Linked DNA regions of Mus musculus. The protein of the gene in region 4 interacts with the protein of the main gene of each other region in a pairwise test. Links are inferred from orthologs where the notes say so. Each region holds a gene or a part of one and is shown on either strand. Other genes may lie near its edges.

Region 1 (4,197 bases), on a different chromosome or scaffold from region 4:
AAGTGCTGGACATGGTGCCCCACGCCGTTAGTCTCAAAGCTACCCTGGTCTACATCGTAAGTGGCAGGACTTAACAAAACAAAATGGTGGAAAGCGAGATTGACTGCTCCGAGTTGTCCTTGGACCTCCACACTTAAAACTCACACTCATAAAACAAAACGAATTAAAAAGAATAAAATAAATGTTTATGCCAGGTAGGCATGCCAGCCTGTCTCGAACTCGGTCTCTGAGGTGTGAACAGAGGATCCCAAGAGCAAGCTGGTTAGCAAGACAAGCTGTGTTGGTGGATTCTGGGCTTAATGAGGCCTTGACTCTGAATAAGGTGGAAGAATGACTGGTGCCTGCTATCAACCTCAAGGCTCCACACGCATGTGTGCACACACAGCCCCTACACACACACACACACACACACACACACACACACACACACACACACTCATGAATATGGGCAAAAGAAACAAGGAAAAAGGCTGCCACCAACCCAGGGCCGAGAGGAAGATCTCTGGTGTAGAAAAGCTTGCGCTATGTGATTACAGCGGAGCTCAAAAGAAAGCAGGCCTGGGCTGGTGAGATGGCTCAGTGGGTAAGAGCACCCGACTGCTCTTCTAAAGGTCTGGAGTTCAAATCCCAGCAACCACATGGTGGCTCACAGCCATCTGTAACAAGATCTGACGCCCTCGTCTGGATTGTCTGAAGTCAGCTACAGTGTACTTACATATAATAAATAAATCTTTAAAAAAAAAAAAAAAAAAAGCCCAGCTACTGTTTAAAAAAAAAAAAAAAAAAAAAAAGAAAGCAGGCCTGACCTAAGCTGACTCAAGGGACCCAAGGCTAGGCCATAAGGGCTCAACAGTGATTACCTAAGCTGGGGGGTTGATGGGGCAAAGCATGTGAGCCAAGAGGCAGTGAAACTAACAAAATGAATTTTCATTTACAATAATCTGTCTAGCAACACAACTGTTTATTGACCATCTTGTATGATTTTGGAATGGATTAAAGACAAAAACAGGGCTGGTGAGATGGCTCAGTGGTTAAGAGCACCGACTGCTCTTCCAAAGGTCCTGAGTTCAAATCCCAGCAACCACGTGGTGGCTCACAACCATCCTTAACAAAATCTGATGCCCTCTTCTGGAGTGTCTGAATGTACTTACATATAATAAATAAATAAATAAATAAATAAATAAAATAAAATAAAAAAGACAAAAACAAAACAAAAACTCCTAATCTGACCTTCTAAAACACCGAAGAGAAGTCCCATCTTGCAGCTTGCCCCAGGCCCCTCTGCACCAGGTTCCCTCTCCAGAGTGGCTTCCTGCTAGGCAGCTGTTCGTATGAGGGTGGGGACAGACACTCACAGTTTCAGGACGGCCAGGTTGGCCTCCAGATCATAGGCATTCTCTTTGGCTTGTGTCTCCACATATCGCTCCAGGGTAGCCAAGTTCTCAGGATTGTACCTGGAAGAGCATCAAGATGGGTGAACAGCCTGGCACAGTGGTTACATGCCTTTCATCCCAGCACCTAGGAGGCTGAGGCAGGACAGGAGGATTGCAAGTTTGAAGCTAGTCTGCAATTAATAGTGAAAACCTGTCTCAAAAGGAAAAAGGGAGCCGAGCAGTGGTGGCGCACGCCTTTAGTCCCAGCACTTGGGAGGCAGAGGCAGGCGGATTTCTGAGTTCGAGACCAGCCTAGTCTACAGAGTGAGTTCCAGGACAGCCAGGGCTACACAGAGAAACCCTGTCTCAAAAAACAAACAAACAAACAAACAAAAAAAGGGGGGGGGAAGATAGGGAGATAACTACACAGACAGACATGAGTAAACAAAGAGAAGAACAGAGGCTAGTCCTTAGGGACCACTGTAATTTGTTAACCTGAAATCACTCTCTTCTTCCTACAGCTTTTATTCTGGCCATGGGATATTCCTCACTTTGCTATTTTCTTTTTAAATAAATCTGTAGGAAGCTTTATTACATTCATTCGATCTTAAAATAAATAAGTTAGTCCCACCCACTGGAACTACCCAGATAGCTGATCAATTAACTGTACAACATCCAGTAAATGTTTTTCCTAACATGGGCCTCTAGCTAGCCCTACTTGAGCCCCTGGTCATGTCTAGGATGCCTCCAACCTCAGTCAGTCTCTGCAGCCCGTATGTTTTCCTGAACACCTTCTCTTCGATCCCGTTCTGACCCAGTTCCATCCTCTCCTGCCTATCTCAATACGTGGCTTGACCTGACCAGGCCCTGATCGCTCCTTATTGTCACTATCTGCTGAATGGGGTTGTCGCCAGGATGGAATGGGAACCTAAGTCCAGGAACGCAGGACCGGTTCCCGTTTCCATCACCTCCGGTCCCCACTGGCCAAATAGACATCAGAAAACACTATGTAGGATGGTCCACAAGGACAGAGAAGGAAGAGACTAAAAGACACCGGGAGTCTGTGGCAGCAGAAAAGGTAAAGTTGAGGGACGGAGAGAAACTTGGAGAAACTCCATCTCTGGAGGAGCGTGGAGCCCTGGCCACCCCTGGCTGGCTCCCCGTCTTCTCCACCCCGCTTGGCCAGAGAGCGCCCTTCAGCGGAATTCAGACCTGTCGATACCCTTGAGCAACTTGCCCACGTTCGCTCTCATCTGCTCAAACATCGCCATGATCACTGTTGCCTTCGGCAGCCTCAGCTGGAGTCGAACACCAGGCACGGTGCTTAGCACTAGAGGACCGGAAGAGAGGTGTAGGAAGCGGAACCTGCGTCACACCCTCCCTCCAGCTCCTACAAGGAAGGCAAAGGGAAAGGCGCTTTCAGCACCAGCGCCGGTTGTTTTTTTTTTTTTTTTTTTTTGTCTACCACGTGATTTCCTTCCAGCAGTTGTAACTTGCGCATGCGCAATGAGCTCACTTAAAAGAGACCAATAGCGTGAGAAAAGGTTTAGTCTGCCTTACTACGCAGGCGCCAGGAGGCGGGCTAAGCTTTTCCCGGGCCGCGCAAACTTAGTACTTAAGCTTCTGACGCGCGTGCGCTGGAGTTGTACGGGGAAAGGAGACTTTATTTTCTCTACGCATGCGTAGCCTTAAGCGTTTAGCCCCGTGAAGGGTTGCTGTTTCCTTTTCTTTGAGTTTAGTCGGGTGGGAGATGCTCTCTGAAGCCCTTCTTGTCTCCGACTTGGGTGCCTGAGACAGCATCTTGTATGTATCTTCACTTCCTCGCTGGTCCCCACTCGGTTCCGTACTGCTACAGTGCTGTTAGGAGGCCGGGAAGGCAAAAGACACCTGTAGTCTCCATCGGCTCTGCGTAGGGGCTACTAACAAGTGTTCCACGTCTGCCACAGATTCCCTACACGTTTGAAGCGTTGCACAGACATGTGCCATGCGGGCAGGTGCCCTGAGCTCAGCTGTCACTTAAGTCACATGCATGTGTCACGAGTAAACAGGTCTTCTGTGAAACCTAGCCAGCTTTGTGCAGACCTGCAACCTCTGGCTTGATTCCAGATCTTCAAGAACCCAGCAGAGGTTCAACCGTAACCTATGACTCCTCCCAAAATAGAGTGTTGGGGAGAGGGTGCTAGGTCAGCCCCAGGTTGCATTTAAGAACTTTTGCATCTTATTTACATAGTGTCCTTCAGTGGGTAAAGGGGAGTCCCATGGGTCCCAAGGCGATCAAACTCTCAGAACCCAGGGGACGGGGGTGGAGCCCTCTGTGCAGCCCTCTGCACAGCCCTGCAGCTGGGGCAGGAAGCGAGAGTGGGGAGGGGGAAGGCCACAGCCCACAGAGTCAAGGCGGGCCCAGGACTTGTGTGGAGACAGAAGGTAATACCAAAGCTTGAACCCTGAGGCCCTGTTGGCCCCCTGGGCACTGGCCCAGCCCCGGCCTCCAGGAATGGCCCTTGTGGACCCCGACATTTTTAATAAGGACCCTCGAGAACACTATGATCTACTGCAACGACTGGGTGGTGGAACTTATGGAGAAGTATTCAAGGTGAGAAAGCCCTTCTGTCTCCTCCACCACAACCCTGGGATAGTTGGGGAGAGGCTGGCAAGCAGGAGTGTAAGAGAATGCCAGGCCTTGGCCTTGGTTCAGAGATGCTGAGGATGGCAAGCTATGGAGTCTGCCTGATGACCAACTTCCCCTTTACAAGGCTCGCGACAAGGTGTCTAAGGACCTGGTGGCTTTGAAGATGGTGAAGATGGAGCCTGGTGAGAGCACCCC
Region 2 (3,500 bases), on a different chromosome or scaffold from region 4:
CCAGCTTCGTTCGAGGAGCTGGGAGTCCTTGGGCTGGTTCTGATGTCATAAAAAGATCTTAGGTGGCCATGAGACCCTGGTGGGATTTCATTTCATCCTCCGGGAAGCGAGCAGTAGAGCTCCTGTCAGGACTGGCTCTCAACACAACTGTGGGCAGCTACATGTAAGAACGTATATCCTGGCCTTGTCCAGGGGTTCCCGTTGGGCACTCTGGGGCAGGCCTGAGGCTGTGTGTGGAGGAAGCAGTAGAAATGAGCCAAGCACCTTCCAGGCCCGTAGGGGATTCTGACAGCCCCCCCCCCCCTGCCAGAGCTTCTTACCTGAAGCCAGGGATCATCTTGGCAAAGCCGATGACCTTTTGGATGCTGTAACTGACAAGATCAGCCAGGTGGGGCAGCATGGAGAGCGGAGACAGGTCCAGGGTCACAGAGGGGTCATCGGAGCCTTCTTCATTCAGATCCATCGTGGAAAAGCTGGCCGGTTCCATCATGTCTGGGGATGAGGAGGAAAGAGGCAGAGAGCTATTTAAGGACACCCAGGCAGGGCCCTCCTGTGAGAACCTTGTGTGCCTTAGAGGATCCAATGGTGACTGCCCTTTCCCAGGGTCTGTTCCTCTCCGGACTCCCTCTGGGTCTCTCCCCATCTCTTTAGCTGTTTGAGGCAGTAAATTCAAGGAACCAGAGATACTCAGGAAAAATATCCTTCTTAGCTATAACTTTGCAAAGTATGGACTTCCTATTATTCTCAGTGTTAAAATGTGTTTGGGACCTTTCCACCCGTGGAGCAACACACTCCCCTTTATCATGATCAAGGAACTACAAGGTAGAGGATATCTGCATTTTGCCAACTATACCCTGGAAGTAAATATAAACTCCATGCTGGCATTTGTAAAGATTAAAGCATCAAAAACTCCTGCAGTGATGGATGCTCTTGAAGACGGATAGTTGTGCAGGTAATCTAAAAAGCAATTTGAAACTTGGTGTGAAAAGCCTCTAGTTGCTGGGTGTGGTCGTGTATGCCTCTAACCTTAGTTCTCGAGAGGTGGAGATGAGAGGGATGGATGGACTGGACTCTGACTGTGGACTGTTAAAGCCTTTGTTGTTGTTGTTTTGTGTTTTTAGACAGAGTCTTAATTTATATCCCTGGCTGACCTGGAACTCACTATGTAAACTAGGGTGGCCTTGAACTCACCGGGATCTGCCTCCTGCCTCTAGCACCTGGGTGCAGTGATTGTATGCTCCACCCCACACTCACACAACCATGCACATGAATGCGCACCCACAAACCCACAAAGAGTTTCTTTGGTGCTTCAATCTTCACAAATACTAGCATCAAGTTTATATTTGGTTCCAATGTCTAGTTGGAAAAATGCAGATATTCTTGTACTTACTTGATTATGACAAAAGGGACCTTTTCATCCCATGGGTTGAGGGGTCCCAAACACACACACAGGAGAGAGAAACAGAGAGAGAGAGAGAGAGAGAGAGAGAGAGAGAGAGAGAGAAAGACAGAGAGAGACAGAGAGAGAGACAGAGAGAGAGAGACAGAGAGAGAGAGACAGAGAGAGAGAGACAGAGAGAGAGACAGAGAGAGACAGAGAGAGAGACAGAGAGACAGAGACAGACAGAGAGGGGAAGAGAGAAAGAGAGATGATGATTCACAGTTAAGTGTAGAGTAATCCCAGTTCCATGCATTCATTATAAGAAAAAAAATGGAATAAATATTTACCCAAGAGAAAAATTAAAAGACTAGGAGCCAATCTAGATATCCGACAGCAGGGAATTTTCACTTGTTACTATATGTCACAATACTCTTCAGTCTCCTAAAACTTTAGTTTTAAGTTTTAAAAATTTTAGTGTGTGTGTGTGTGCTTGTGTGCCCATGCACACACACTCACGCACATGTGTGTACATGAGTCTAGAGGTCTAGTATCTGAAGGCTATAATCACCCAGAGTGGGGGTTCCACCCTCACCTTCTTCCAGGCCCCAAGAGGAGGACACTAGGGCTGGTTGAGAGGTAGAAGGGAGGGGCAGGGCAGAACGAGGAAGGACGGATGATGCAGGATGACAGACATGAATGTATAAGGGGGCCGAAAGCACAGTGTGCCATGCTCTCAGGAGTAGCAGGCGACAAGTTGTCCAAAGCCGTGATGTTTAGTTCCCCAGTGTTCAGGCCCTTCCCACATCATAGGTCACCTCCCTCCATCAATTTCACCCTCCAAAGAGTCCAGGAGCAAAACATTGAATATTGACCTCCAGAGAGGAAGTCAAGGGTAGGGTCTGGCTCAGAGGCTGAGCGTGACTCAAGAAGGCCCATCTATACAGCCAGAACCTCAGCTTGGTCTCTTCCCAGCATGCATACCGCACAGCCAACCCCCTTTCTGTGAAAGAGGAACTGTATGGAGGACCCTGTGCCACACACAGTATGGAAATGGGAGATTTCCATCACTTCCCCTATAGCCTCAGGGCGAGTGGGCCCGAACACCCACAAGCCTGTTTTCTTGATAGTCGTGCTCCTTACCCAGTGAGGGGGTGTACAGATCAGAGTTTGAGGAGGAGTCTCCGGAGAAGCTGAGTGTGGGCCTTGGAGAATAGCTCCCTGTACTTACGTCTGCACGAATTGGAGGCTGGAAGGCAAAGATGGGTTGTCTTTGGCAAAGAGGTCCCTATTTGAGGGCCCCTCTCCTGCCTCTGAGGGCAAAGGTCTGCAGGGAGAGAGGAAGGGCTCGCCGTGGGCAGCACAGCCTCCGAACCTTCCCTGGGTCCCAACCTTCTAGCCCTGCTCCCCGTGCCTGGGCTATACCTGATTCTCCACTAGCCTGGTTCAAGCCACAGGCTGGCAGACGTACCCGGAAGTCCCGGAAGTCGGCATAGGTGGGGTCGTAGGTCTTGTGGTGGGCATCGAGCAGGATGGCGATAATGTGCTGTTGCTCCTCAGACAGCTTGGGCCTCAGACTGTCCTTCAAGGCCTCTTCCTCCTTCCTCTTCATGATCATCTCTCGCTTACGCTGCACCTCCTCATCTGTGAGGATGACTGCGGGGGCAAGAAAGCGAGTCCAGAGTCACGGCCCAAAACTTACAGGAACCCTTCCTCCACTACAAAAGGGCCAGGACGGCTCCTTACACTGCGGCTCCTGGGGACCCAGCTGCCATGTTAGCGCCGATGCCTTATCATGGAGACAACCCGGTTTTCTACAGCGAAAGGGCGGGTGTGTGCAGGAGAAGAGGGTATGAGAGGAACAATGTAGGTACTTGGAAGGCAAGATCCTCAAGGACCAGTTGTGTGACCTTGGAGAAACAACAGAGTTTCTGGGCTTTTTTTTTTTTTTTTTTCTCTTGCTCGTAAAAAAGGAGCAGTTTAGAGCATATGGTCTCATCCGAGCTCTGTCTTTCTCTCGCTCTCTTACTCTCTTTAACACTGGGAGGGAACTTTTTTTCTTTCTTTCAAAGACTCATTTATTTTTATTTATATGAGTACACTGTAGCTGTCTTCAGACACA
Region 3 (4,093 bases), on a different chromosome or scaffold from region 4:
CTCATATAACTCCCCTCCTTCGCTCCCCCCCAAAAAACCCAAACCAAACCCAAACAAACAAACAAAAAAAAAATGGGTGGAAGTGGGGAGAAGAGATATTTCTAATTCACAGTCCATGGCCATGGAACTCAAGTAGATCTGCCTTGGCCACATATTAGAGAGCTCACCATGGGCAAACTACTTAAGTCCAGAGGTTTCATTTTCTTCATTGACAACAGTGAGAATTAAATAAACTACAAGAATTCAGAATATGGGGCTGGAGAGATGGCTCAGTGGTTAAGAGCAGTGACTGCTCTCCCAGAGGTCTCTGTTTTCGTTCCCAGTACCCATGTGGTGGCACTTCACCGAATAATGCCAGATCCAGGGGCTCTGACACCCTCTTCTGACCTCTTTAGGTTCCAAGCCTGCATTTTGGTACATAGTCATACATGTGGGCAAAGCATTTATTTGCATAAAATAAAATTTTCAAATCGATTTCAGGAAAACAGTTGAGAGAATTCTAAAGCAGATGGTAAGTATTAATGATCAAGTGTGCTTTATTTCCTCTGTATGTTTTCAGACAACTGCTGGTCTACATTACTTATTCTCCAGTATTCCTGACCGGAAACTCATGCATCAGGGAGTTTTAGGTTTCACCCACTGCTTTCTTCCCAGTACCTAGAAAACCTATGGCAAGAGATAGGGGCTCAGGAAATACTCCAAAATGAACAAGTATTCGTGCCAGTATAGGGCTGTCCTAGATGTGCTAAGATAGACACCATGACTAAAAGCAACTTGGGGAGGAAAGGGTTACAGGCTATCATTGGGAGCTCCAGGCAGGAACTGGGAGGCAAGAGCTGAAACAGCTAATGAGGCCTCCCTTATACAGTCCAGGACCAGGAGGGGCAGCATAGCCCACTGTGGGCGACATCAATTAGCAACTAAGAGCATGCCCCACAGGCATGCCCACCATCCATCTGATGATAGAGCATGCCCACCGTCCATCTGATGATAGAGCATGCCCCACAGGCATGCCCACCTCCATGCCCCACAGGCATGCCCACCATCCATCTGATGGAGGTGACTCCTCAGATGAGGCCTCCCCATTCCCAGGTGTGTCAAGTTGACAACTGAAGCTATGGCAAGGGTCAACTGGGCTAAGAATCGAGATTAAAACCTCACTAACCAATCCAAATAAGACATAAATAATAAACAAACAAATAAATAGAACGCCTCAGCCAAACAAGAAATAGTGACTATGTTTTCAAAACGATTTACTAGTCGAGCTGGCAAGGCTGAGCAGGTAAAGGCACTAGCTGACCAACAGATTTAACAGACTTGCAGTGATCCACGGGTGAAAAGATAGACTGACTCCCCAAAGCCGTCCTCTGACCAACACACACACACACACACACACACACACACACACACACACACACACACACTAATTTACTAAGCATCTGTTAAATGCCACTTGCATATGTGACACCAGGCTTCATATGACTTAGTCTGTGATTTGAAGTCTCTGCTATGTTATAATACTCATTCTTGCTAATTTACAGCGTCATCTCTAAGGTGAAGTAAGAATTCGTTTGGGAGTATTTGTGTCCTTCAAACCAGAAGTTCTCCTCTTTGCCTGGCTATCGGAAACACTGGGTAAGGAAGGCGGCTACGGTCTCTTCAGCCAGACTGCTTCAGTCTAGGAAATTTTCTGCACACATACACACATTGCTTTAGTTAAGCTTTAGGTAAGCACTTTGAAGTGGGCACAAGTAACAAAACTGCTCACACAACATAACTGAGTTTCACTGTGGTTAAAAACTTGTCCAGAGTCACTCAGACACAGGTCTAAAGCTGCCATGTTTCTTTTTTTTGTGAGTGTAACAAATGGAGAGAGGGGAATTCGATGTGTGTCGATTTTTAAAAAAATAGAAATAAACCGACTCAGAAGAATGGCACAAGTACATCCATATCATAGTTAAATAACACCTTGCTTAGCCTTCGGGTCGGGGGCCTCTTTGCTCTGCTACTTCGATAAGCTTCCATATATAAAATCAAAGGGTCATACGCACAGGCAGCTGAAAAACAATCCGGACTTCCGTGTCACTTCCCATTGGCCCATACAGGGGAGGTGCCTGCAGAGTTGACAGGCACTAGCCCGAATAGCCATTTTCGTCAACTGCAAAGCCCCGTCCCAAGAACGGAACATAACAAGCCTACACCTGGATGACAGCCAAAAAGAGTGCCCAAGTTCAGCAACAAATGTTGTGTGTCTACACCCGCTTTTCATCTGCCCGGGGGGTGGGGGACAATAAATCCTAAGCCATTCTCACACGTAAGCAAGCCTGAAACTTAATGAGTTTCCTCTGACGGCCGCAAAGCCAGGGGGAGGCAATGGTGCGGGGCAAACGACCAAGTGATCCTAGGGCCACCCCGAGTCCCCGATCTCCACGGAGGATCTGAGCACGCACCTCCAGCGTGTAGCTCTCGCTCATGCTGCGGTAGCTGCTCCAGGCCTCGGCGCGCGCCGCCTCGTCCATGTTGAGGCGGCTGCACAGCTCCTCGAACCGCTGCTGGATCTGATGGCTCGGGGACCCCGCGGGCTGCGCGCGATCCGCGGCGTCGCCATCCTCCTCCTCTTCCTCCGAGCTGGCTGCAGCAGCTGGAGGAGGCGGTGGCGACTGGTTGCCTCCAGATGCCATGGCGCACCCCGAGGCCGCGGCTCTTCAGATGCGCTCAGGGCCCGGGCCCGCAGCCATTCAAACCGCGAAGCGCCGGCCCGTCAGCAGCCTGTCCTGCTACTGTGCCGCCCCCAAAGTTCCTCAGTCCCATGCGGGCACCCGTAGGTCTGAGCACGGCCTGCTGGGAAATGTAGTCTCGGCCGGGATCTCAGGGAGACCAAAAGTCATGGAAGAAGAAAGCAAAAAACGAGCTGTGCATCATTTAGGGGTGAATGGACACGTCCTCTACCGTTTTAAAAAGCATCTCTCAATAGTGAGACCATTCAGAAGGCTCGTTTGAAGAGAAAAAGACCAAGAAATATCGACAGGATTTAGTATATAAGCCCTTTACACACATCCTCACCTAGAGGTCCTCAGATAGTAAAGCTAAAAGGTCCAAAGTAAAGATAATAGTTTGCCTGCCCTTTCTAGTCTCTGTTGCTGAGATAAACACGGACTGTAACCAACTCGGAGAGGAAAGGGCTTATTTCATTTTAGTCTTTACAGTTCATCATTGACGGAGGTTAAAGCAGGACGCTGCTTACTGACTTAGCTCCCCGTTGCTTTATCAGCTACTTTCTTAATACAACGCCACCCCCGCGGCCGCCACCTCCCTAGGCAAGACCCACAGGTCAATCCAACAGAGAGGATTCCTCAAGTGACACTCCTATGTCAACGCTATCAATGGCAAAGGTATATTGAGCTAAGAATTGATCTCACTTCACCAAACAAAAACAAAATAAAAAACCCTCAACCCTCAACCCTCAATCACACAAATAATCATGAATGTGTTTTCAAGAATAACTTAAAATGTATATTAGCTATCACATAACTGCTCCTAGATACGGCTAAAGTTTCTTACAGATAAAAGGAAGAGCGTAGAGCAGGGACATCTGAGTGAGTCCAGAGTGGACATGACCCTGAGCCACCTGAGGGAGGAGAGTGCGGGGAGGGGGCGCGGGAGGTGAAGGGAGAGAGGGGAGAGAGGGGAACCAGGTGCAGCAGCTAGAAGGCCCAAAGGTACACCGAGCTAGAAACTAAAATGTCTGGATTATATAGGAAAGCACAGCCCACCCCTTGAGCTGGAGAGTTTTGGGTAGGGGGCTGGCTATGGTAACAGGTAGAGGTTGAGGGCTACCAGGAGAACAGAGCAGCCAGGTCCTCTTTGATATGTTAAATAGGCACCTCAGCCTTTTGTCCCCGGGCTTGAAACTTTCCTATATTTATGATTTGAGGTGTTAAAGCTACCGAATCTCTAACTAAGCTTAGATATGAAGGGAATTTCAAAGAATTTGCTCACGGAAAAGAAACTTTTAAGGCACATTGCATGGGCTTAAGTGGTGAAGAGAATCTAGTGGAGATAAACACATTGATTGAAAAGGGCTGGGGAGATT
Region 4 (4,247 bases):
TCCTTTTTTCCCTTGATTTTTGTTTTTGAGACATAGTCTCATGATATTAGCTCCTCCTGACCTAGAACTCTTATTTAGACTAGGCTGGCTTTGAACTCAAAGAAATCTGCTTGCCTCTGTCTTCAAAGTGCTGGGATTAAAGGGGTGCTCTGTCATGCCTGTCTTCCTTCCTTCCTTCCTTCCTTCCTTCCTTCCTTCCTTCCTTGTTATTTGAGTCATCTGACATGGGTCTGGCTGGCCTGGAATTCTCCATGGGCTATTATCATTTGGTTTGCTTGGTTTTGTGATAAAATCTTATATAGCCCAGGCTGCTCCTGAACTCATTAGGAAGCAGACAGTGACCTTAATCTTCTGATCGTTTCTGGGTTCTGCAGTGCTGGGGATTGAGCCCTGGGCTCTGAGCATGCTAAGCAAGAGCTCTACCACCTGAGATATATCTGCAGCCCACCCCCTGCCACCGTGTGTGTGTGTGTGTGTGTGTGTGTGTGTGTGTGTGTGTGTGTGGAGAGAGAGAGAGAGAGAGAGAGAGAGACTCTAGGCAGGCCTTGAATTGTCTGTATAGTGGATAGTGGATCCTGGTGTTAAGCCAACACTTCCCTGGGTCTGAGATTACTGGCTTGCTCCACCACAGCCAGCACCAAATGGCTTTTTATATGCTGATTTTGACCAACACTGCTCACACCTCCGTTGGTGCAACGCAGTGTCCCATTCAGCAGACCTGAGAAACTGCATTTCTTCTTTTGCTTTTTATTTTCGTTGTGTATGTGCATGAAGGTGTGTGCGCACATGCTACATACAGCCTTGGTGTAGAAGTCAGAGGACAGCTTATGGGAGTTGCTCTCTTCTCTTCCATCATGTGGGTCCCAGGGATCACACTCAGGTTGCCAGACTTGATGCCAGGATAGTTTACCCTCTGAGCCATTGAATCGGACAGAAACTACATGCTCCCAGATGCTGCTGCAGATCTGCGCAATTCGTTAAAGTAGACGAGATTCTAAGTCAAGTTTCCCGACGGACCAACAATGAGATCTTTGCAGCTACTATTGTGCCTCAGTATCATGGTCTGCAAAATAAAGCCCAACTCGAGGCCATTCCTAGAAGCCACTTTAGGGTAGGAGTGACCCAACTATGTACAAAGTTATGACCACATTCCCTAGAGCAATGAAATATGACGTATACACGAAGGAATAACTTTTGGCGCCTAGTTCTTTCCTGGGTGGCTAGAATCGCGACGGGGCCCATTGATGGGGAAGAGGGCACCCTTCCAGAAAGTTCTCTCTACCCTCTTGGTCAGAAGGGACCCGAGGGCCCGGAAGCGTGCGGGCCGGAGCCCAGCGGACCAATGGGGCTGCGGGGAGGGAGGGAGGGTATAGCGCCCGCCAGCCCTTTCCGACTGCGGCCCCGCCCCTTAGAACGTTGTGACGTAGGAGCATTCCACGGTTGCTACATCGTCGCGAGGGGCGGGGCGCCTGTCAGGGAAGCGGTGCGCGCGGGTGGCGGGCGGGCTGGGGCTTCTCCGCACAGTGCCAGCGCCAGCGCCAGACCCGCCCGCACCCCGCGCTCTCCCTCACGCGCGTCGCTTCTCCTAGGACTCGCTAACCCGCACTCTTGCTCTCACCCGTGAGCCATCGCAGGATGGAGCTGCTGTGTTGCGAGGGCACCCGGCACGCGCCCCGGGCCGGGCCCGACCCGCGGCTGCTTGGGGACCAGCGTGTCCTGCAGAGTTTACTCCGCCTGGAGGAGCGCTACGTGCCGCGAGCCTCCTACTTCCAGTGCGTGCAAAAGGAGATCAAGCCGCACATGCGGAAGATGCTGGCATACTGGATGCTGGAGGTAAGGCCCGAACGGGTCCCCTCTCCTCACCCCACCCCCACCCCCGGCTCTGGGACAAATTGAACTTTCCCTGTCGGATCTTTGCGATCCCGACCACAATCTGCAAGATGCTTTGGCGGCCCAGACTACTGGGGCCTGGCCTTTTCACACAGGCGCCCTAAGCAGCTGCCTGCGTTCTGTCCCTTTCCTTTCCCCAATCCTGATCGGCTTCTTCTGTGATTTCCAGTCACTTGGCACTGTAACTAAACTTCACTTTGGGTCGGGAAAGCGGGCTAAGGGCCACTCTTTCCCCAGTGGCTTTCCTCGGTGTCTCCTGCTTCCTTCTTCACCCGGTGCTCTCTGGAGGGCGCGTTTGGAAAACCCTGGCCTCGGCCGCCTTAGCCCCAGAACTGGTTCCTGTGTCTATCGCGGGGTTCTGGCGGGGGAAACTGGTGGGTGGGGGTGGCGCAGGCTCGGTTCCGGTCCACAGGGAAATGAAAAGTGCGGGAGACCGCGGCAGGAGTTCCCTCCCTTCCCCCTGGGAGTGTGTGTGCAGTGGGTGGCGGTAATGAGGGTAAGGTCCCAATTCTCTCTAGGTGACCCTTCCGTCCCCCTTCCGCTCGCCGTGGGGGAGGGGAGTCTGGAATCCTTCGTGAGCATGGGCTTCTCTTTTACACCCCCTACTCCGGGGTGGGGAAGAGACCATGCAGAGGAAGTGGGGGGGTCACCTTGGGGAGGGCACATCCTCCTCGGTTATTGATACTTGTCGCTCTAAGTTTATCCCTTCTCGGTTTATTTTTTGCTTCGCATTCCACTCTCCCTCCACCCCCCACCCCCACTTCTCCACGCTGCCGTGTTTCACTTGGTCCTTCCCTAGCAATGACTCGTGCGCCCTCCCTCAGGTGTGTGAGGAGCAGCGCTGCGAGGAGGATGTCTTCCCTCTGGCTATGAACTACCTGGATCGCTACCTGTCCTGCGTCCCCACCCGAAAGGCGCAATTGCAGCTTCTAGGTACCGTCTGCCTGTTGCTGGCCTCCAAGCTGCGCGAAACCACGCCCCTGACTATTGAGAAGCTTTGCATCTATACGGACCAGGCTGTGGCTCCATGGCAGTTGCGGGTGCGTGCGGAATCCTCCCCCCCCCCCCCCGCCCCTCCACCAAACATACGATCGCCCTATGTACTAGTAAAAGAAAAGCCAAGCTCACTCCCTCACCCACCAACCCTCCCTTCGCCCCTGGCTGGTATTTTGGGACAAAGGCCTTGTAGTGTGGTCGTGGTGCTTCGGTTGCAAGCTTAAAACTAAATGAATCCCTTTCCTCTGGCCGCAGTGGGGTTCCACTCCTAACTCGCCCCCCCCCCCCCCAATAGCAACAAGTCCAATTGCGGGTCTATACACCAGTACTTTGCCTCTGGGTTTACACAGCCACCGTGAGTTATTTATTGGCAGCAGCAGGGCATGTCTGCACACCCCCACCGGAGTGGAATGTGCTTCACGTGGGGGAGGGGGCTGCCTTGCATGAGCCTTTATCCCCGTGTGGACTTTGTGATGGAAAAGCCTCCCGGAGCTGATTAAAGCCAGGCCCTGCTCGCTGGAAGGAAGCGCTGAGGTGTTTTCATCCCTTTCCCTCCTATCCCCGAAGACACCGCTCTTTTCTAAACCCTCCCTTTCTTGTCTTCCTTCTGAAAAACTCGAGCAGCTGCTCTGGGCCCGTGGAAGAGTTTCTCCCTTTGCTGCTCAGCCAAAGGCCAGAGCCGAGACAGACAGGGAGCTGAGCTGCAGCTGCTTCCGATGTGATAATGATGCCGGTCCCCTGGCCCTCCCACTCAGACCAAGGGCTTTCATAACCCTGTGGGGAGCTGCTGTCACTCCTGTGGTTTGGGAAGTGGCTCCTTGGGGCCTCTTGCTGGGAACTTGGGCTGGGCTCCTCCAGGCGGGGCAAAAAAAAAAAAAAAAAAAAAAAAAAATCGGTTGGGTTCTGCCCTGCCCCGGAGGAGTCTAGGGAGGAGGTGGATCTGCTTGGATCTGGAAGGGAGCTTGAACGTCATCTCCCACAGGGTCTGGGGGAGAGGGTGGGTGAGCTGGCACCTCCCTCCACCTTGTTCTGTGGCTGGCCAAGCCTTCTCTGACCCTGAGAGGAGTCTCTGGGCCCCATCTCCTAGGGAGGAGGGCAGCAGGCAGACTCCTGTGATTGGCTGGCTGGGAAGCTAGGGTACTGGGGCCCCTGACTGCTGTGAGTCGGGGAACTGGATTCCTCTTCCTGTCAAGCAGCTCTCACGGATGGGAGGCCTGAGTTGGGAATCCGGGAGGCCCCACAGCTCTTTGTGATGAATCTAGTTTCCAGAGCCAGGGAGCACGATGTTTTTGAGGGATTGAGGCTGGGAGGTAGGAGACTTACTCTTTGTGAAGAGATTAAGGGTGGTCTACATGGCTGTG
Region 5 (4,274 bases), on a different chromosome or scaffold from region 4:
GGTCCTCTGGCTTCGGGCCTTATACACCTCAATTAGCAGGTCCTTCACGTACTGGATCTCCCGCTCCACTGACTCAGCCCTCTCCCTCAGCTCCCGGTTCCGGGCCTCCAGCCCCTGGCACTCGCCCTCCAGGGCCTCGCCCTCTGCCCGCTTCCTCTGGCGGTACCTGAGAGCAGCTGACTTATTCTGGTCTCTCTTCTTTTGCTTGCGGTCCCCTCGTGTGCTGGCAGGACTAGGATAAGGGGCTGGGCGGGCGGGTGAAGGCAGAGGGGCCAGAGGAGGAGGCTGCTGTGGGACAGGCAGGGTTGACAAGCCTGAATCCCCCGGCCCGGCCTCACTGCGGCAGTAAACAGCCAGCAGGTCCAAGGTATCCAGGGTAGGAGGCTGAGGGAGGTCAAAGGTGGGCAAGGGCAAGGGCAGGGGCAGAGAGGGTGCTGCTGCTGGTGGTGGAGGTGGTGGTGGGGAGGGCGGTGGGAGAAGTGGGGCATCAAGGAAGAAGTCTTCCATCTGTTCCAGCTCCTTCTTGAGTAGGGATGCCATGGCTTCCAGGTCAGGGGGGGCCGGGGAGGGTGGGGGGAGAGTGCCTGGGGGCAGAGGGGCCTCCAGAGGAAGGAGAGCTGTGAAGTCCACCCGCTCAGTCATCCAATCAGAGAAGCCGTCACCTGAGGATGGAGGGGGACATAAAAGTCCCTGAGGACTGTGCTTTATCCACTTCGGTGTTCACTCATGTCCCATTCATTAAATGTGACAAGTGACCAGCCAGCCAACCATCAAATCTATAGGCCCATCAATAGACCAATAAGTCAGGGAAGAAACCAATCAAGCAATCAACCAACCAGCTAGCTAGTTTACCCTTCAAGCTACTAGCCAATGAACTAACCAACCAACCAACCAATCAACCAGTCAGCCAGCCATAGGATTTACTAGCTAACCAGCCAACCAGGCAATCATACCACTCAGCAGCCAACCAACCAACAAATTCATTAATCTATGAACAAGCCAGTCAGTCAATCAGCCAACCATAGTTTACAATCAACAAACAGACCCACTAACAATGAATGAGGCAACCAACCAACCAATCAGCCAATCATATAGTTCAGTAGCCAACCAAGTAACCCAGAAAGTAAGCAGTGAACCAGTGAACCAGAGTTCACCAGCCAACAATCAACTAAACCACCATGTAACCAATGACCCAGCCAACCAGCCAATCACCCATCAGTTCACCAGGCCACCTGCCAATGAACTAATCAACTCACCAACCAATCAGTGAACAAGCCAATCAATGATTCAAATCAATCAGCCAACCACTCAGTGAAGCAGTCACCCAACTAACGGTCCACCCAACAAAGGTCTGCTCCCACGTCTGTAATCCTGCTCTGTGGCTGCTTGACTGCACCCCATACCTATGTCTTCTCTCCTTTCCTTGCTTGTTCAGTTATTATTGGTGATAGAGACTTGTGTAGACTAGGCTGGCCTTGGACCTGCTTTGTAGTCCGTGGCTGAGGACAACCTTAAACATCTGACTCTCCCAGAGTGCTAGGACTATTCACCACTCTCTCTCCTCCCTTTCCTGCACGTGTGTGTGTGTGTGTGTGTGTGTGTGTGTGTGTGTATGACTCGCTCCATCTTTATTTGTTCTCCTTTTCCATTTCTGAGATGTTTGAGAATTACGTTCTTGCTATGCTGCCTAGGCTGGCCTGACCTCAAGAGGCTGAGAAGCCCCTTGAACAGGGGGAGCTGAGGGCATGTGCCACCAGGCGCAGTCTGGGACAACCATCTGTTACATAGTCAAAAGAGACTGTGCCCCAGGATCTCTGAGATGGAGCCCCCTTCCACCTTATCATGGCTCCTTCTCCCCATCCCTCAGCCCTCAGTTCAGATGTCATCTACTTAGAGGGGCTGACTTCTCAACTATGTCTTTCATCACTGTCCACTAAGCTTTGGTCTCCCACTTCTGTCTCCTGATGCACCCATGAGCTTAGGGATCCCTTGCTCGGAACCCTGCAGACCTAGAACAGTGTTGGGCACACTGCAGGCCCTCAGTACTGATCTTGTGAAGGAATAAATTCTTCCTTTTCTGTCCACCCCCACCCCCAGCTCAACCCACCTCTCTTCTTAACCTGTTCTTACCTGCCAGGGGCTCTCCCCCCCCTGGAAGCCCGCCCTCCAGGGCACCCCCAAGGACCTCATAGGGGCCCAGGGGGGCAGGGGCCAGGGGGAGTTTCCCATAGTCTACGAGCCAGCCCAGCCCGCTAGCTGGGAGCAGGGCCCTGTCCAGCTCCAGTCCCAGGGTCGCCAGGAGTGACATGGCTGTGACACAGGCACAGGGCAGCGACGGCAATGGAGGCTGCACCAACAATTGGGAGGCAGCGTGGAAGATTGTTCAGCTGGGTGAAGACAGGCACCAAGGCGAAGGTGGAGGACCTGTGAGGACAAGGGGACGTGGGTGGGATTGAGTCAAAGCGGCTTGACCCACAGGCTACACAGTTTCCTTCTTTCCGAAAATTTCAGCGCTCCACACATTCCCAGGGACATTATTGGAAACTCCCCTGCCCCATCTCCTCCCTCAACACAGAAACCTAGTGTTTTCCCAGGGGAATTACCTCTAGTCCCTCCTACCCACCTCATCTTATTCCTCTTCATAAAAATTTCAATCCCAAGGGAATTTCCTTCTAGCCGTGCCCCTTCCGCATCATTAGACTATACCCCCTTTAATCCACAGGGGTTCCCAGAATAATTCTGCATGCCTGGGCCCTTCATCAGTGTCACACACACAGATCCCGCTCTTCCCTTAAAAATTTTGGTGACTTCTAAAGATTCTACGGGAAGCTCCGCCCACCCTTCTGTCTGTCACAGTCAGTTCCCGTCCCCCACTAGCAAGTCCCTAGAGGCCCCGCCCCTGTAGTGCTAGTGCTAACTCTTTCTTAAAGGTGTTCCTAAAGCCTTTCCTGTCAGTTTAAGCCAGTCCCCGCCCCAGCAGGTGTCTGATTGGAGGGAAGTTGGGCCTGAGTCGGAGCCTCAAGCAAAACCCCACCCTTCCTCGCTGCTGGCTCGACTAGCGACGAGGCGCAAGCTCAGTCCCAGGACCCGATCCATTGTTACGCCACTACCCTCCTGGGGGACCAGTGCGCGTGTTTAGCCAATGACCGGCCGCCCGCCGTAGTTCAGGCCGGGGGTGGAGGGGTGGGGGGGTGGGGGAATAAGACAATGCGCATGCGCAACAGGTTGTGGGGTTGTCTCCTTGGAGGAAAAGGGGCAGAGGGTCTGTGAATTAGCGCGCAGGCGCAACGGCGCGCGAGCCGACCTTAAAAGCCCCCAAATTCTCCGGAAGCACGCCCTCCTCCTCCCCGCCCCTCGCAACTCGAGCCTAGTGCGCTTGCTCAGCGGATGCGCCGGCCGCCAGCTTCCCTCTTCTGCGCCTGCGCGACCGTGGTTCCTCACTTCGTCTCCCCCGCCCCCACCACGAGGCTGACCCGTGAAGCCCCGCGAGCTCTGAAAGGGCGGGAAAGGCAGTTGGCGAGGGAGGGGCGAGCGGTTACTCACTCCATGGCGGCGAAAAGGCGAGGAGGCAACGGCGGCGGCGGCCTCGGCTGAAGAGACGGTGTGAGCGGAGAGTGAAGGCGCGGTGAGCGCGGAGACGGGGGCGGGGGACACGACGGGGTCGCGGCTACAGAGCCATTGCGCGGGCGGAGGCGGCGTGGCGGGAGCGTTAAGGGAGACTGTGCTGAGAGGGTTGAAAATGAGGCGGCCCCGGGGCCTGGGGACAAATATACCGGGGGCGGCGCAGCGCGGGCTTGCCTGGATCCCTCCGCGCCCCGCCCTCGCGCGGCCCCGACGGGGCGGTGGCGACCCCGGGCCCGCCATGTCGCCCTGACCCTCCACTCTCTGCTTCAGGCTGGGGGCCCGGGCTCGGTCTCCTGAATCGGTCAGATCCGATGTGTCTTTCACACCCGAAACCAGCTCGTCTCGTTCTCTCTCCCTGCTTCACGAATTTGCCACCCGAGACCTCGTGGGTTAAGCCCATCGCCGAATGGCGCAAGCTAGCTTAGGCTTCATAGAGGAGTTCCAGGCAGCAACCGCGAGATAACGCTTCCCAAGTACTTGTAGAGCGCTGTATACGCGCACAGATATATCAGCTATGGAAAGTAGGCCACGAAGTCCTAACCACGAGACTCTTCAACATATTTTTGTTTGTTTTGTTTTAACATTTATTGTGGTGGTCAGAGGAGAGCTAGCAGGAGTTGGTTCTCTGACCATGTGAGTCCCAGGGACGG
Region 6 (4,222 bases), on a different chromosome or scaffold from region 4:
GGGGACACACAAGGCCAAGTGCACATTCATAGTTTCTAGAAACTTTTTTTTTTAAATAAAAGCAAGTACAATGGATGAAAGAGCCGCAACATAGCAGGGCATGGTGGTGTACACCCTTTTTTGGGAGGCAGAGGCAGGGGGGATGGATCTCTGAGTTCAAACTCACCAACCTGCTCTATAGAGTGCATTCCAGAACAGCCAGAACTACACAGAGAAACCCTGACTCAAAAAACCATGAGAAAAACAAAAAACAAGCCAGAACATAGTGAAACCCATTATTACATGCAGGTAATATATGCAAATAAAAAAAGAAAAGCCAAACGAAACTAGGTTTGGACAAAGTTTCCTGTGCCAGACTGCTCTCTGTAATATTTCCAGGTCTCTTTCAAAGGAAAATTCTGCTGTCTTGAAAGGAGGGAAGGGAGCTGGGCATGGTGGCACACGCCTTTAATCTCAGCACTTGGGAGGCAGAGGCAGGCGGATTTCTGAGTTCGAGGCCAGCCTGGTCTACAGAGTGAGTTCCAGGACAGCCAGGACTATACAGAGAAACCCTGTGTCGAAAAACCAAAAAAAAGAAAAAAGGAAAAAGAAGAAAGAAAGAAAGAGAGAAAGAAAGGAAGAAAGAAAGAAGGGAAGGGAAGGGGAAGAGATGGGAGTGTTTTGCCTCCCCTCTGATGTCCCTAGCTCCAAGAATCATCCAAGGGCCATCCAGCTCAGCTTCTGTGTATTTAGAGTCTCTGTGTCCTCATTCATATACTTTCCCTTCCCTGCCCCCATTTCATTTACAGAGGGCTCTGTAAATGAAGGAGAGCAACCCTCTGCCACCAACAGGAGGATCCACCCCCACCTTTCCAAGCCTGATGAGGTGAAGAACTGGCCCTTCAAGGTGCTACAGGGGACAAGCCACTGCCACCGTGCAACCCCCCTCCCCGCCACCCCCATATATACACACAAATACTCATGCATTCCATAGCTCTGGGTTCCTGAGAAGAAAACTGACACTTCATTTAGCCCCAAAGTGGACTCACCCAGTCCTAACCGAAAGACCTGCTGTGTTTGCCCTGATTATCATGATGAGCCCTGAACTCTCCCACAACATGGACCCTGAACGCAGACCCTGTGGCGTCTCTGGAGGCTGTGTTAAGGAGAACCCCGCCTCCCTCAGTCTGCAGAGCTGGGGTCCTGGCTCAGCTGACCTTGGCTGACACAGGCAGTTTGTGTAACAACGGGTCTGTTTGCAATCTACCCCCTAGCAAGTCGCGTGGCTCAGAGAGACCCTGCGGGGAGGACAAACATTCTGAAGGCAGACTGTAGGATTGGGCCTTTCTCTGCAGCTGGAACCCGGGGTGGGGGTGGGGGTGATGCCAGGCTCCCACATCCACTGCAGAGAGGGGCCAGAATTTAGAGCGAATGAGGGAGGAGACAGCAATAGATTTTTCTGAAAATTTCTATTCTCTGATCTTTAATTTCGCAAGGGCGGAGCAAGAAAACTGGGTATGACTCTAAGGATCATTGCGGTTAGCTGACACAAAGAGAATGAACAGCGAGGAAAGATGAGAACAGAGGCCCTACTGCCCTCGCAACATTCTTTTTAGCTCCAGACTCACTCTTATACAGTCCCTAGCTCCTCAAGGGTATCCCCTGCTCCCCACCACAGGGCTCCTCTCCAGTGCAGAAATGGAAGGCATGCTGACCCTTAGGCTCTGGGGTAGTTTCCACTCCCTGGGGCGGTTAACTGCATCTCTCCGCAGATGTCTCTCCTTTCCTATACCTTCTAGCTCAGTCGCATCCTAGAGGGTAGTAGAAGGTGGGTAGGGAAAGTCTGGGTGGTTCCTGTGTTCCCACCCTTGGCTAACAGCCCAGTTGCGCAGGGTGCAGCTGGTCTGTGGCGAGGAGGGAGGCAATCCTAGACTTTCGGAAATGGGGATTGGTGTTTCACACGAGGACATTTGTTGAAATCTAAGAAAGTGGTAATTGTCCAGAGCGATTTTAGGGCTTGGGAGCCGGTTGCTGTAGGAAAATATGTCTCACAGGTGGGGGTGGGGTGGGGTGGGGTGGGGTGGGGAGACTGGAGTGGGAAGTGCAAGGTGTGGGGGAGGGTCGGGGAGCTGAAGTGGTGGACCACCTGGTGGGCGGAGCCAAGTGTTGAGGATAATGGACCTGTCGCCTGGATTGGGTTACTGTTAGGGTACGCGGAAAGATCTTGGAATGTCTCCTAGGGGCTCCCTGCCTGGATTCTGGATTCTTAAAGCTCAGAGCCAGGTGCCCTGGTCAGCAGGTCCAGGCGCCGAGGCTAGCCAACCCCTCCTGAGACTAACCTCGTGCTTCTGGTTTCTACTTGCTTCACAGGCTCTGAGTCACCGTTGAAGCTGGCACTGGTGGGCGCCCAGCCTCAGAAAGTAGGATTTAAGAGTCTTGGGCCTGGTGCCCCAGGACCCAGGGTATCCGGCACGCCCCTTTCCTAGGATGCAGGCTCCCAGGTACATTCCCTGATTCGGCCCCCTTCCGTTTATTCGGCCTCTGCTCTAAAGACCCCAGCGCCCTTCTTGTCCTCCCTTCCCAACTCACGAAAACCTCCTTACCCAGAGCTTTTAGCATTTCCTCAAAGTTTTCCGATCGGATGATCTTCCAGTTGCCAGAAAAGTTAGGCATAGTGGCAGCAAGGTGGCTTTCTCTTTAGATCTTCAACTAGAACACTGGACGCTGAGTCCTTTAGGCTAAAGATACTTTGCTGTCTCCTTTGCAGAACAGATCCTTCCACCTGGGGACCAAGCCGCGTGGAGGACAATTGCACAGCCGCTGGGCGCCAGAGCTCTAGGCTTTTATACCCAGCTGGTGCATGAGGCGGCCCCGCCCCCGCCCCGCCTTCCACACCACCTGGGGGCCCTGCTCTGTGACCACTTCACCCCCATCCTTTCCGGAATCCCTCCTGTTTCTAGAAATGTGGGTGGGTCCAGGGTTCTCCAAGAGCCAAGATACCCTTCTCCCGCATCAGTAGGCGGACCGAGAAGCGTCAGAAGGCAAGAACGGGGTTTGTGCCTCTGGCAAGAACAGGGCACGGCTCTCGCCTGGGTCACGGATGCTCTCTCGGCCTGCAGGGCGAACACAGGTCCCGTTTCACCAGTTCCCTAGTAGTTCTCTACCAGATTTGGTGCTCTGGACAGCTCAGCTCCAGGCATCCGGAGACCCCACTAGCGCAAGAATTGTCCCCCCCCCCCCCCCCCGGCAACCGGCAGTCGAAATGGACTCAATGAAACAGCTCGGAATTCAAGCGTTCTTTTGGGTGACAGGGAGGTGCTGCTCTGTCCTCCACCCCTTGACTCAGCTCTGGGTTCAAGTAGTGCCTGGGGACGCCTGAAGTGAGCACAAGGCAACTCATTCATTCCTCTCCAAGCCCTGGACGGACAATGAAGGGTTAAGCAGGAGCCCCCGGCTCGAGGCTAGAAGGGCAGAGGTCACAGCCAATCACTTGACACGACTCTTTTATTAAGGCGCTTTCTCGGTGGCTACGCTTCCCTGGGCCCCCTGGGCCACAAGGAGGGGGAGAAAGACGCCAAGCGCCCCCCACCACCCCCCACCCCCACCCCGCGGCTTGCCGCGTTGCCTCCGGGGTTGGGGGAAGGCTGACTGTGTGGGGAGGGGGTGGGTCTGAGACGTCCCTATCTAGAGCTGAAAGTGCGGTGAATCAGCCTCTCCGAGGCTGATTTTTACGTGGGTGAAACCCTAGTGGAAAGACAGCGAGACAGCAGAAAGGACAGGAGCGGCCTCGGAGGCACGCGGGTAACCCAAAGCCAGAAACAACGTTGCTCTGTGCTGGAGCTACAAGTGTTTGCCCTTTCTTTGGCATTCGCCCTCAGTCTCCCGGGGCTATCCCCGTAGTCCCCTCAGGATCTCAAACAAGGTCCCTGCCTGGCCCCTTCTCATCTAGGTGGCCAAGGTTGGAACAGGCAGCCCTGACCTGGTGAACTGGGGACTTGGCAGGCTTTGGTTGGGGAGTGGAACTGAGCTGAGGACAGGGCCTGAAGGATTAACCTCACTCAGAGGCCAGACAGTGTCACTCGAGTCAGGTCTTCATCGAGGCAATCCCGAATAATGGGGTGTGGAAAACTTGAGAGGATGAGGGAGGAAGGCTGCCTCTCAGAAGGGCCTCTGGATCGCCGCTCTCCCCACCCCCCACCCCACCACCAACACTCAGAAGGGAGTGGGACAAGTCGGCCTGAGT

What was found.
Region 1: the proteins of Ccnd3 (region 4) and Eif3k interact in a two-hybrid assay, tested with the Homo sapiens proteins (2 studies listed by BioGRID and IntAct). The link is inferred for Mus musculus from reciprocal best matches to the Homo sapiens genes CCND3 and EIF3K.
Region 2: the proteins of Ccnd3 (region 4) and Vdr interact in a two-hybrid assay, tested with the Homo sapiens proteins (2 studies listed by BioGRID and IntAct). The link is inferred for Mus musculus from reciprocal best matches to the Homo sapiens genes CCND3 and VDR.
Region 3: the proteins of Ccnd3 (region 4) and Rbl2 interact in a two-hybrid assay, tested with the Homo sapiens proteins (2 studies listed by BioGRID). The link is inferred for Mus musculus from reciprocal best matches to the Homo sapiens genes CCND3 and RBL2.
Region 5: the proteins of Ccnd3 (region 4) and Atf5 interact in a two-hybrid assay, tested with the Homo sapiens proteins (2 studies listed by BioGRID and IntAct). The link is inferred for Mus musculus from reciprocal best matches to the Homo sapiens genes CCND3 and ATF5.
Region 6: the proteins of Ccnd3 (region 4) and Crabp2 interact in binary tests that used the Homo sapiens proteins (3 or more experiments, as listed by UniProt). The link is inferred for Mus musculus from reciprocal best matches to the Homo sapiens genes CCND3 and CRABP2.

What each region holds. Positions count from the first base shown.
Region 1 is NC_000073.6:28,979,089-28,983,285, forward strand, and holds the start of Eif3k (eukaryotic translation initiation factor 3 subunit K), read right to left. Parts: upstream 2,801-4,197; 5' UTR 2,645-2,800; coding exon 2,586-2,644; intron 1,455-2,585; coding exon 1,356-1,454; exon of another isoform or gene 1,231-1,355; intron 1-1,230. Other genes in the region: Map4k1 (mitogen-activated protein kinase kinase kinase kinase 1), read left to right, coding at 3,868-3,966, 4,127-4,184. UniProt on the Homo sapiens protein: Component of the eukaryotic translation initiation factor 3 (eIF-3) complex, which is required for several steps in the initiation of protein synthesis.
Region 2 is NC_000081.6:97,866,797-97,870,296, forward strand, and holds part of Vdr (vitamin D3 receptor), read right to left. Parts: intron 3,035-3,500; coding exon 2,850-3,034; intron 2,628-2,849; coding exon 2,522-2,627; intron 493-2,521; coding exon 321-492; intron 1-320.
Region 3 is NC_000074.6:91,068,764-91,072,856, reverse strand, and holds the start of Rbl2 (retinoblastoma-like protein 2), read right to left. Parts: upstream 2,801-4,093; 5' UTR 2,682-2,800; coding exon 2,451-2,681; intron 1-2,450. UniProt on the Homo sapiens protein: Key regulator of entry into cell division. Directly involved in heterochromatin formation by maintaining overall chromatin structure and, in particular, that of constitutive heterochromatin by stabilizing histone methylation.
Region 4 is NC_000083.6:47,592,020-47,596,266, forward strand, and holds the start of Ccnd3 (G1/S-specific cyclin-D3), read left to right. Parts: upstream 1-1,447; 5' UTR 1,448-1,635; coding exon 1,636-1,833; intron 1,834-2,276; exon of another isoform or gene 2,277-2,306; coding exon of another isoform or gene 2,307-2,360; exon of another isoform or gene 2,361-2,380; coding exon of another isoform or gene 2,381-2,386; intron 2,387-2,714; coding exon 2,715-2,930; intron 2,931-4,054; exon of another isoform or gene 4,055-4,196; intron 4,197-4,247. UniProt on the Homo sapiens protein: Regulatory component of the cyclin D3-CDK4 (DC) complex that phosphorylates and inhibits members of the retinoblastoma (RB) protein family including RB1 and regulates the cell-cycle during G(1)/S transition.
Region 5 is NC_000073.6:44,812,859-44,817,132, forward strand, and holds the start of Atf5 (cyclic AMP-dependent transcription factor ATF-5), read right to left. Parts: upstream 2,801-4,274; 5' UTR 2,624-2,800; intron 2,425-2,623; 5' UTR 2,309-2,424; coding exon 2,131-2,308; intron 663-2,130; coding exon 1-662.
Region 6 is NC_000069.6:87,947,271-87,951,492, reverse strand, and holds the start of Crabp2 (cellular retinoic acid-binding protein 2), read right to left. Parts: upstream 2,801-4,222; 5' UTR 2,653-2,800; coding exon 2,583-2,652; intron 1-2,582. UniProt on the Homo sapiens protein: Transports retinoic acid to the nucleus. Regulates the access of retinoic acid to the nuclear retinoic acid receptors.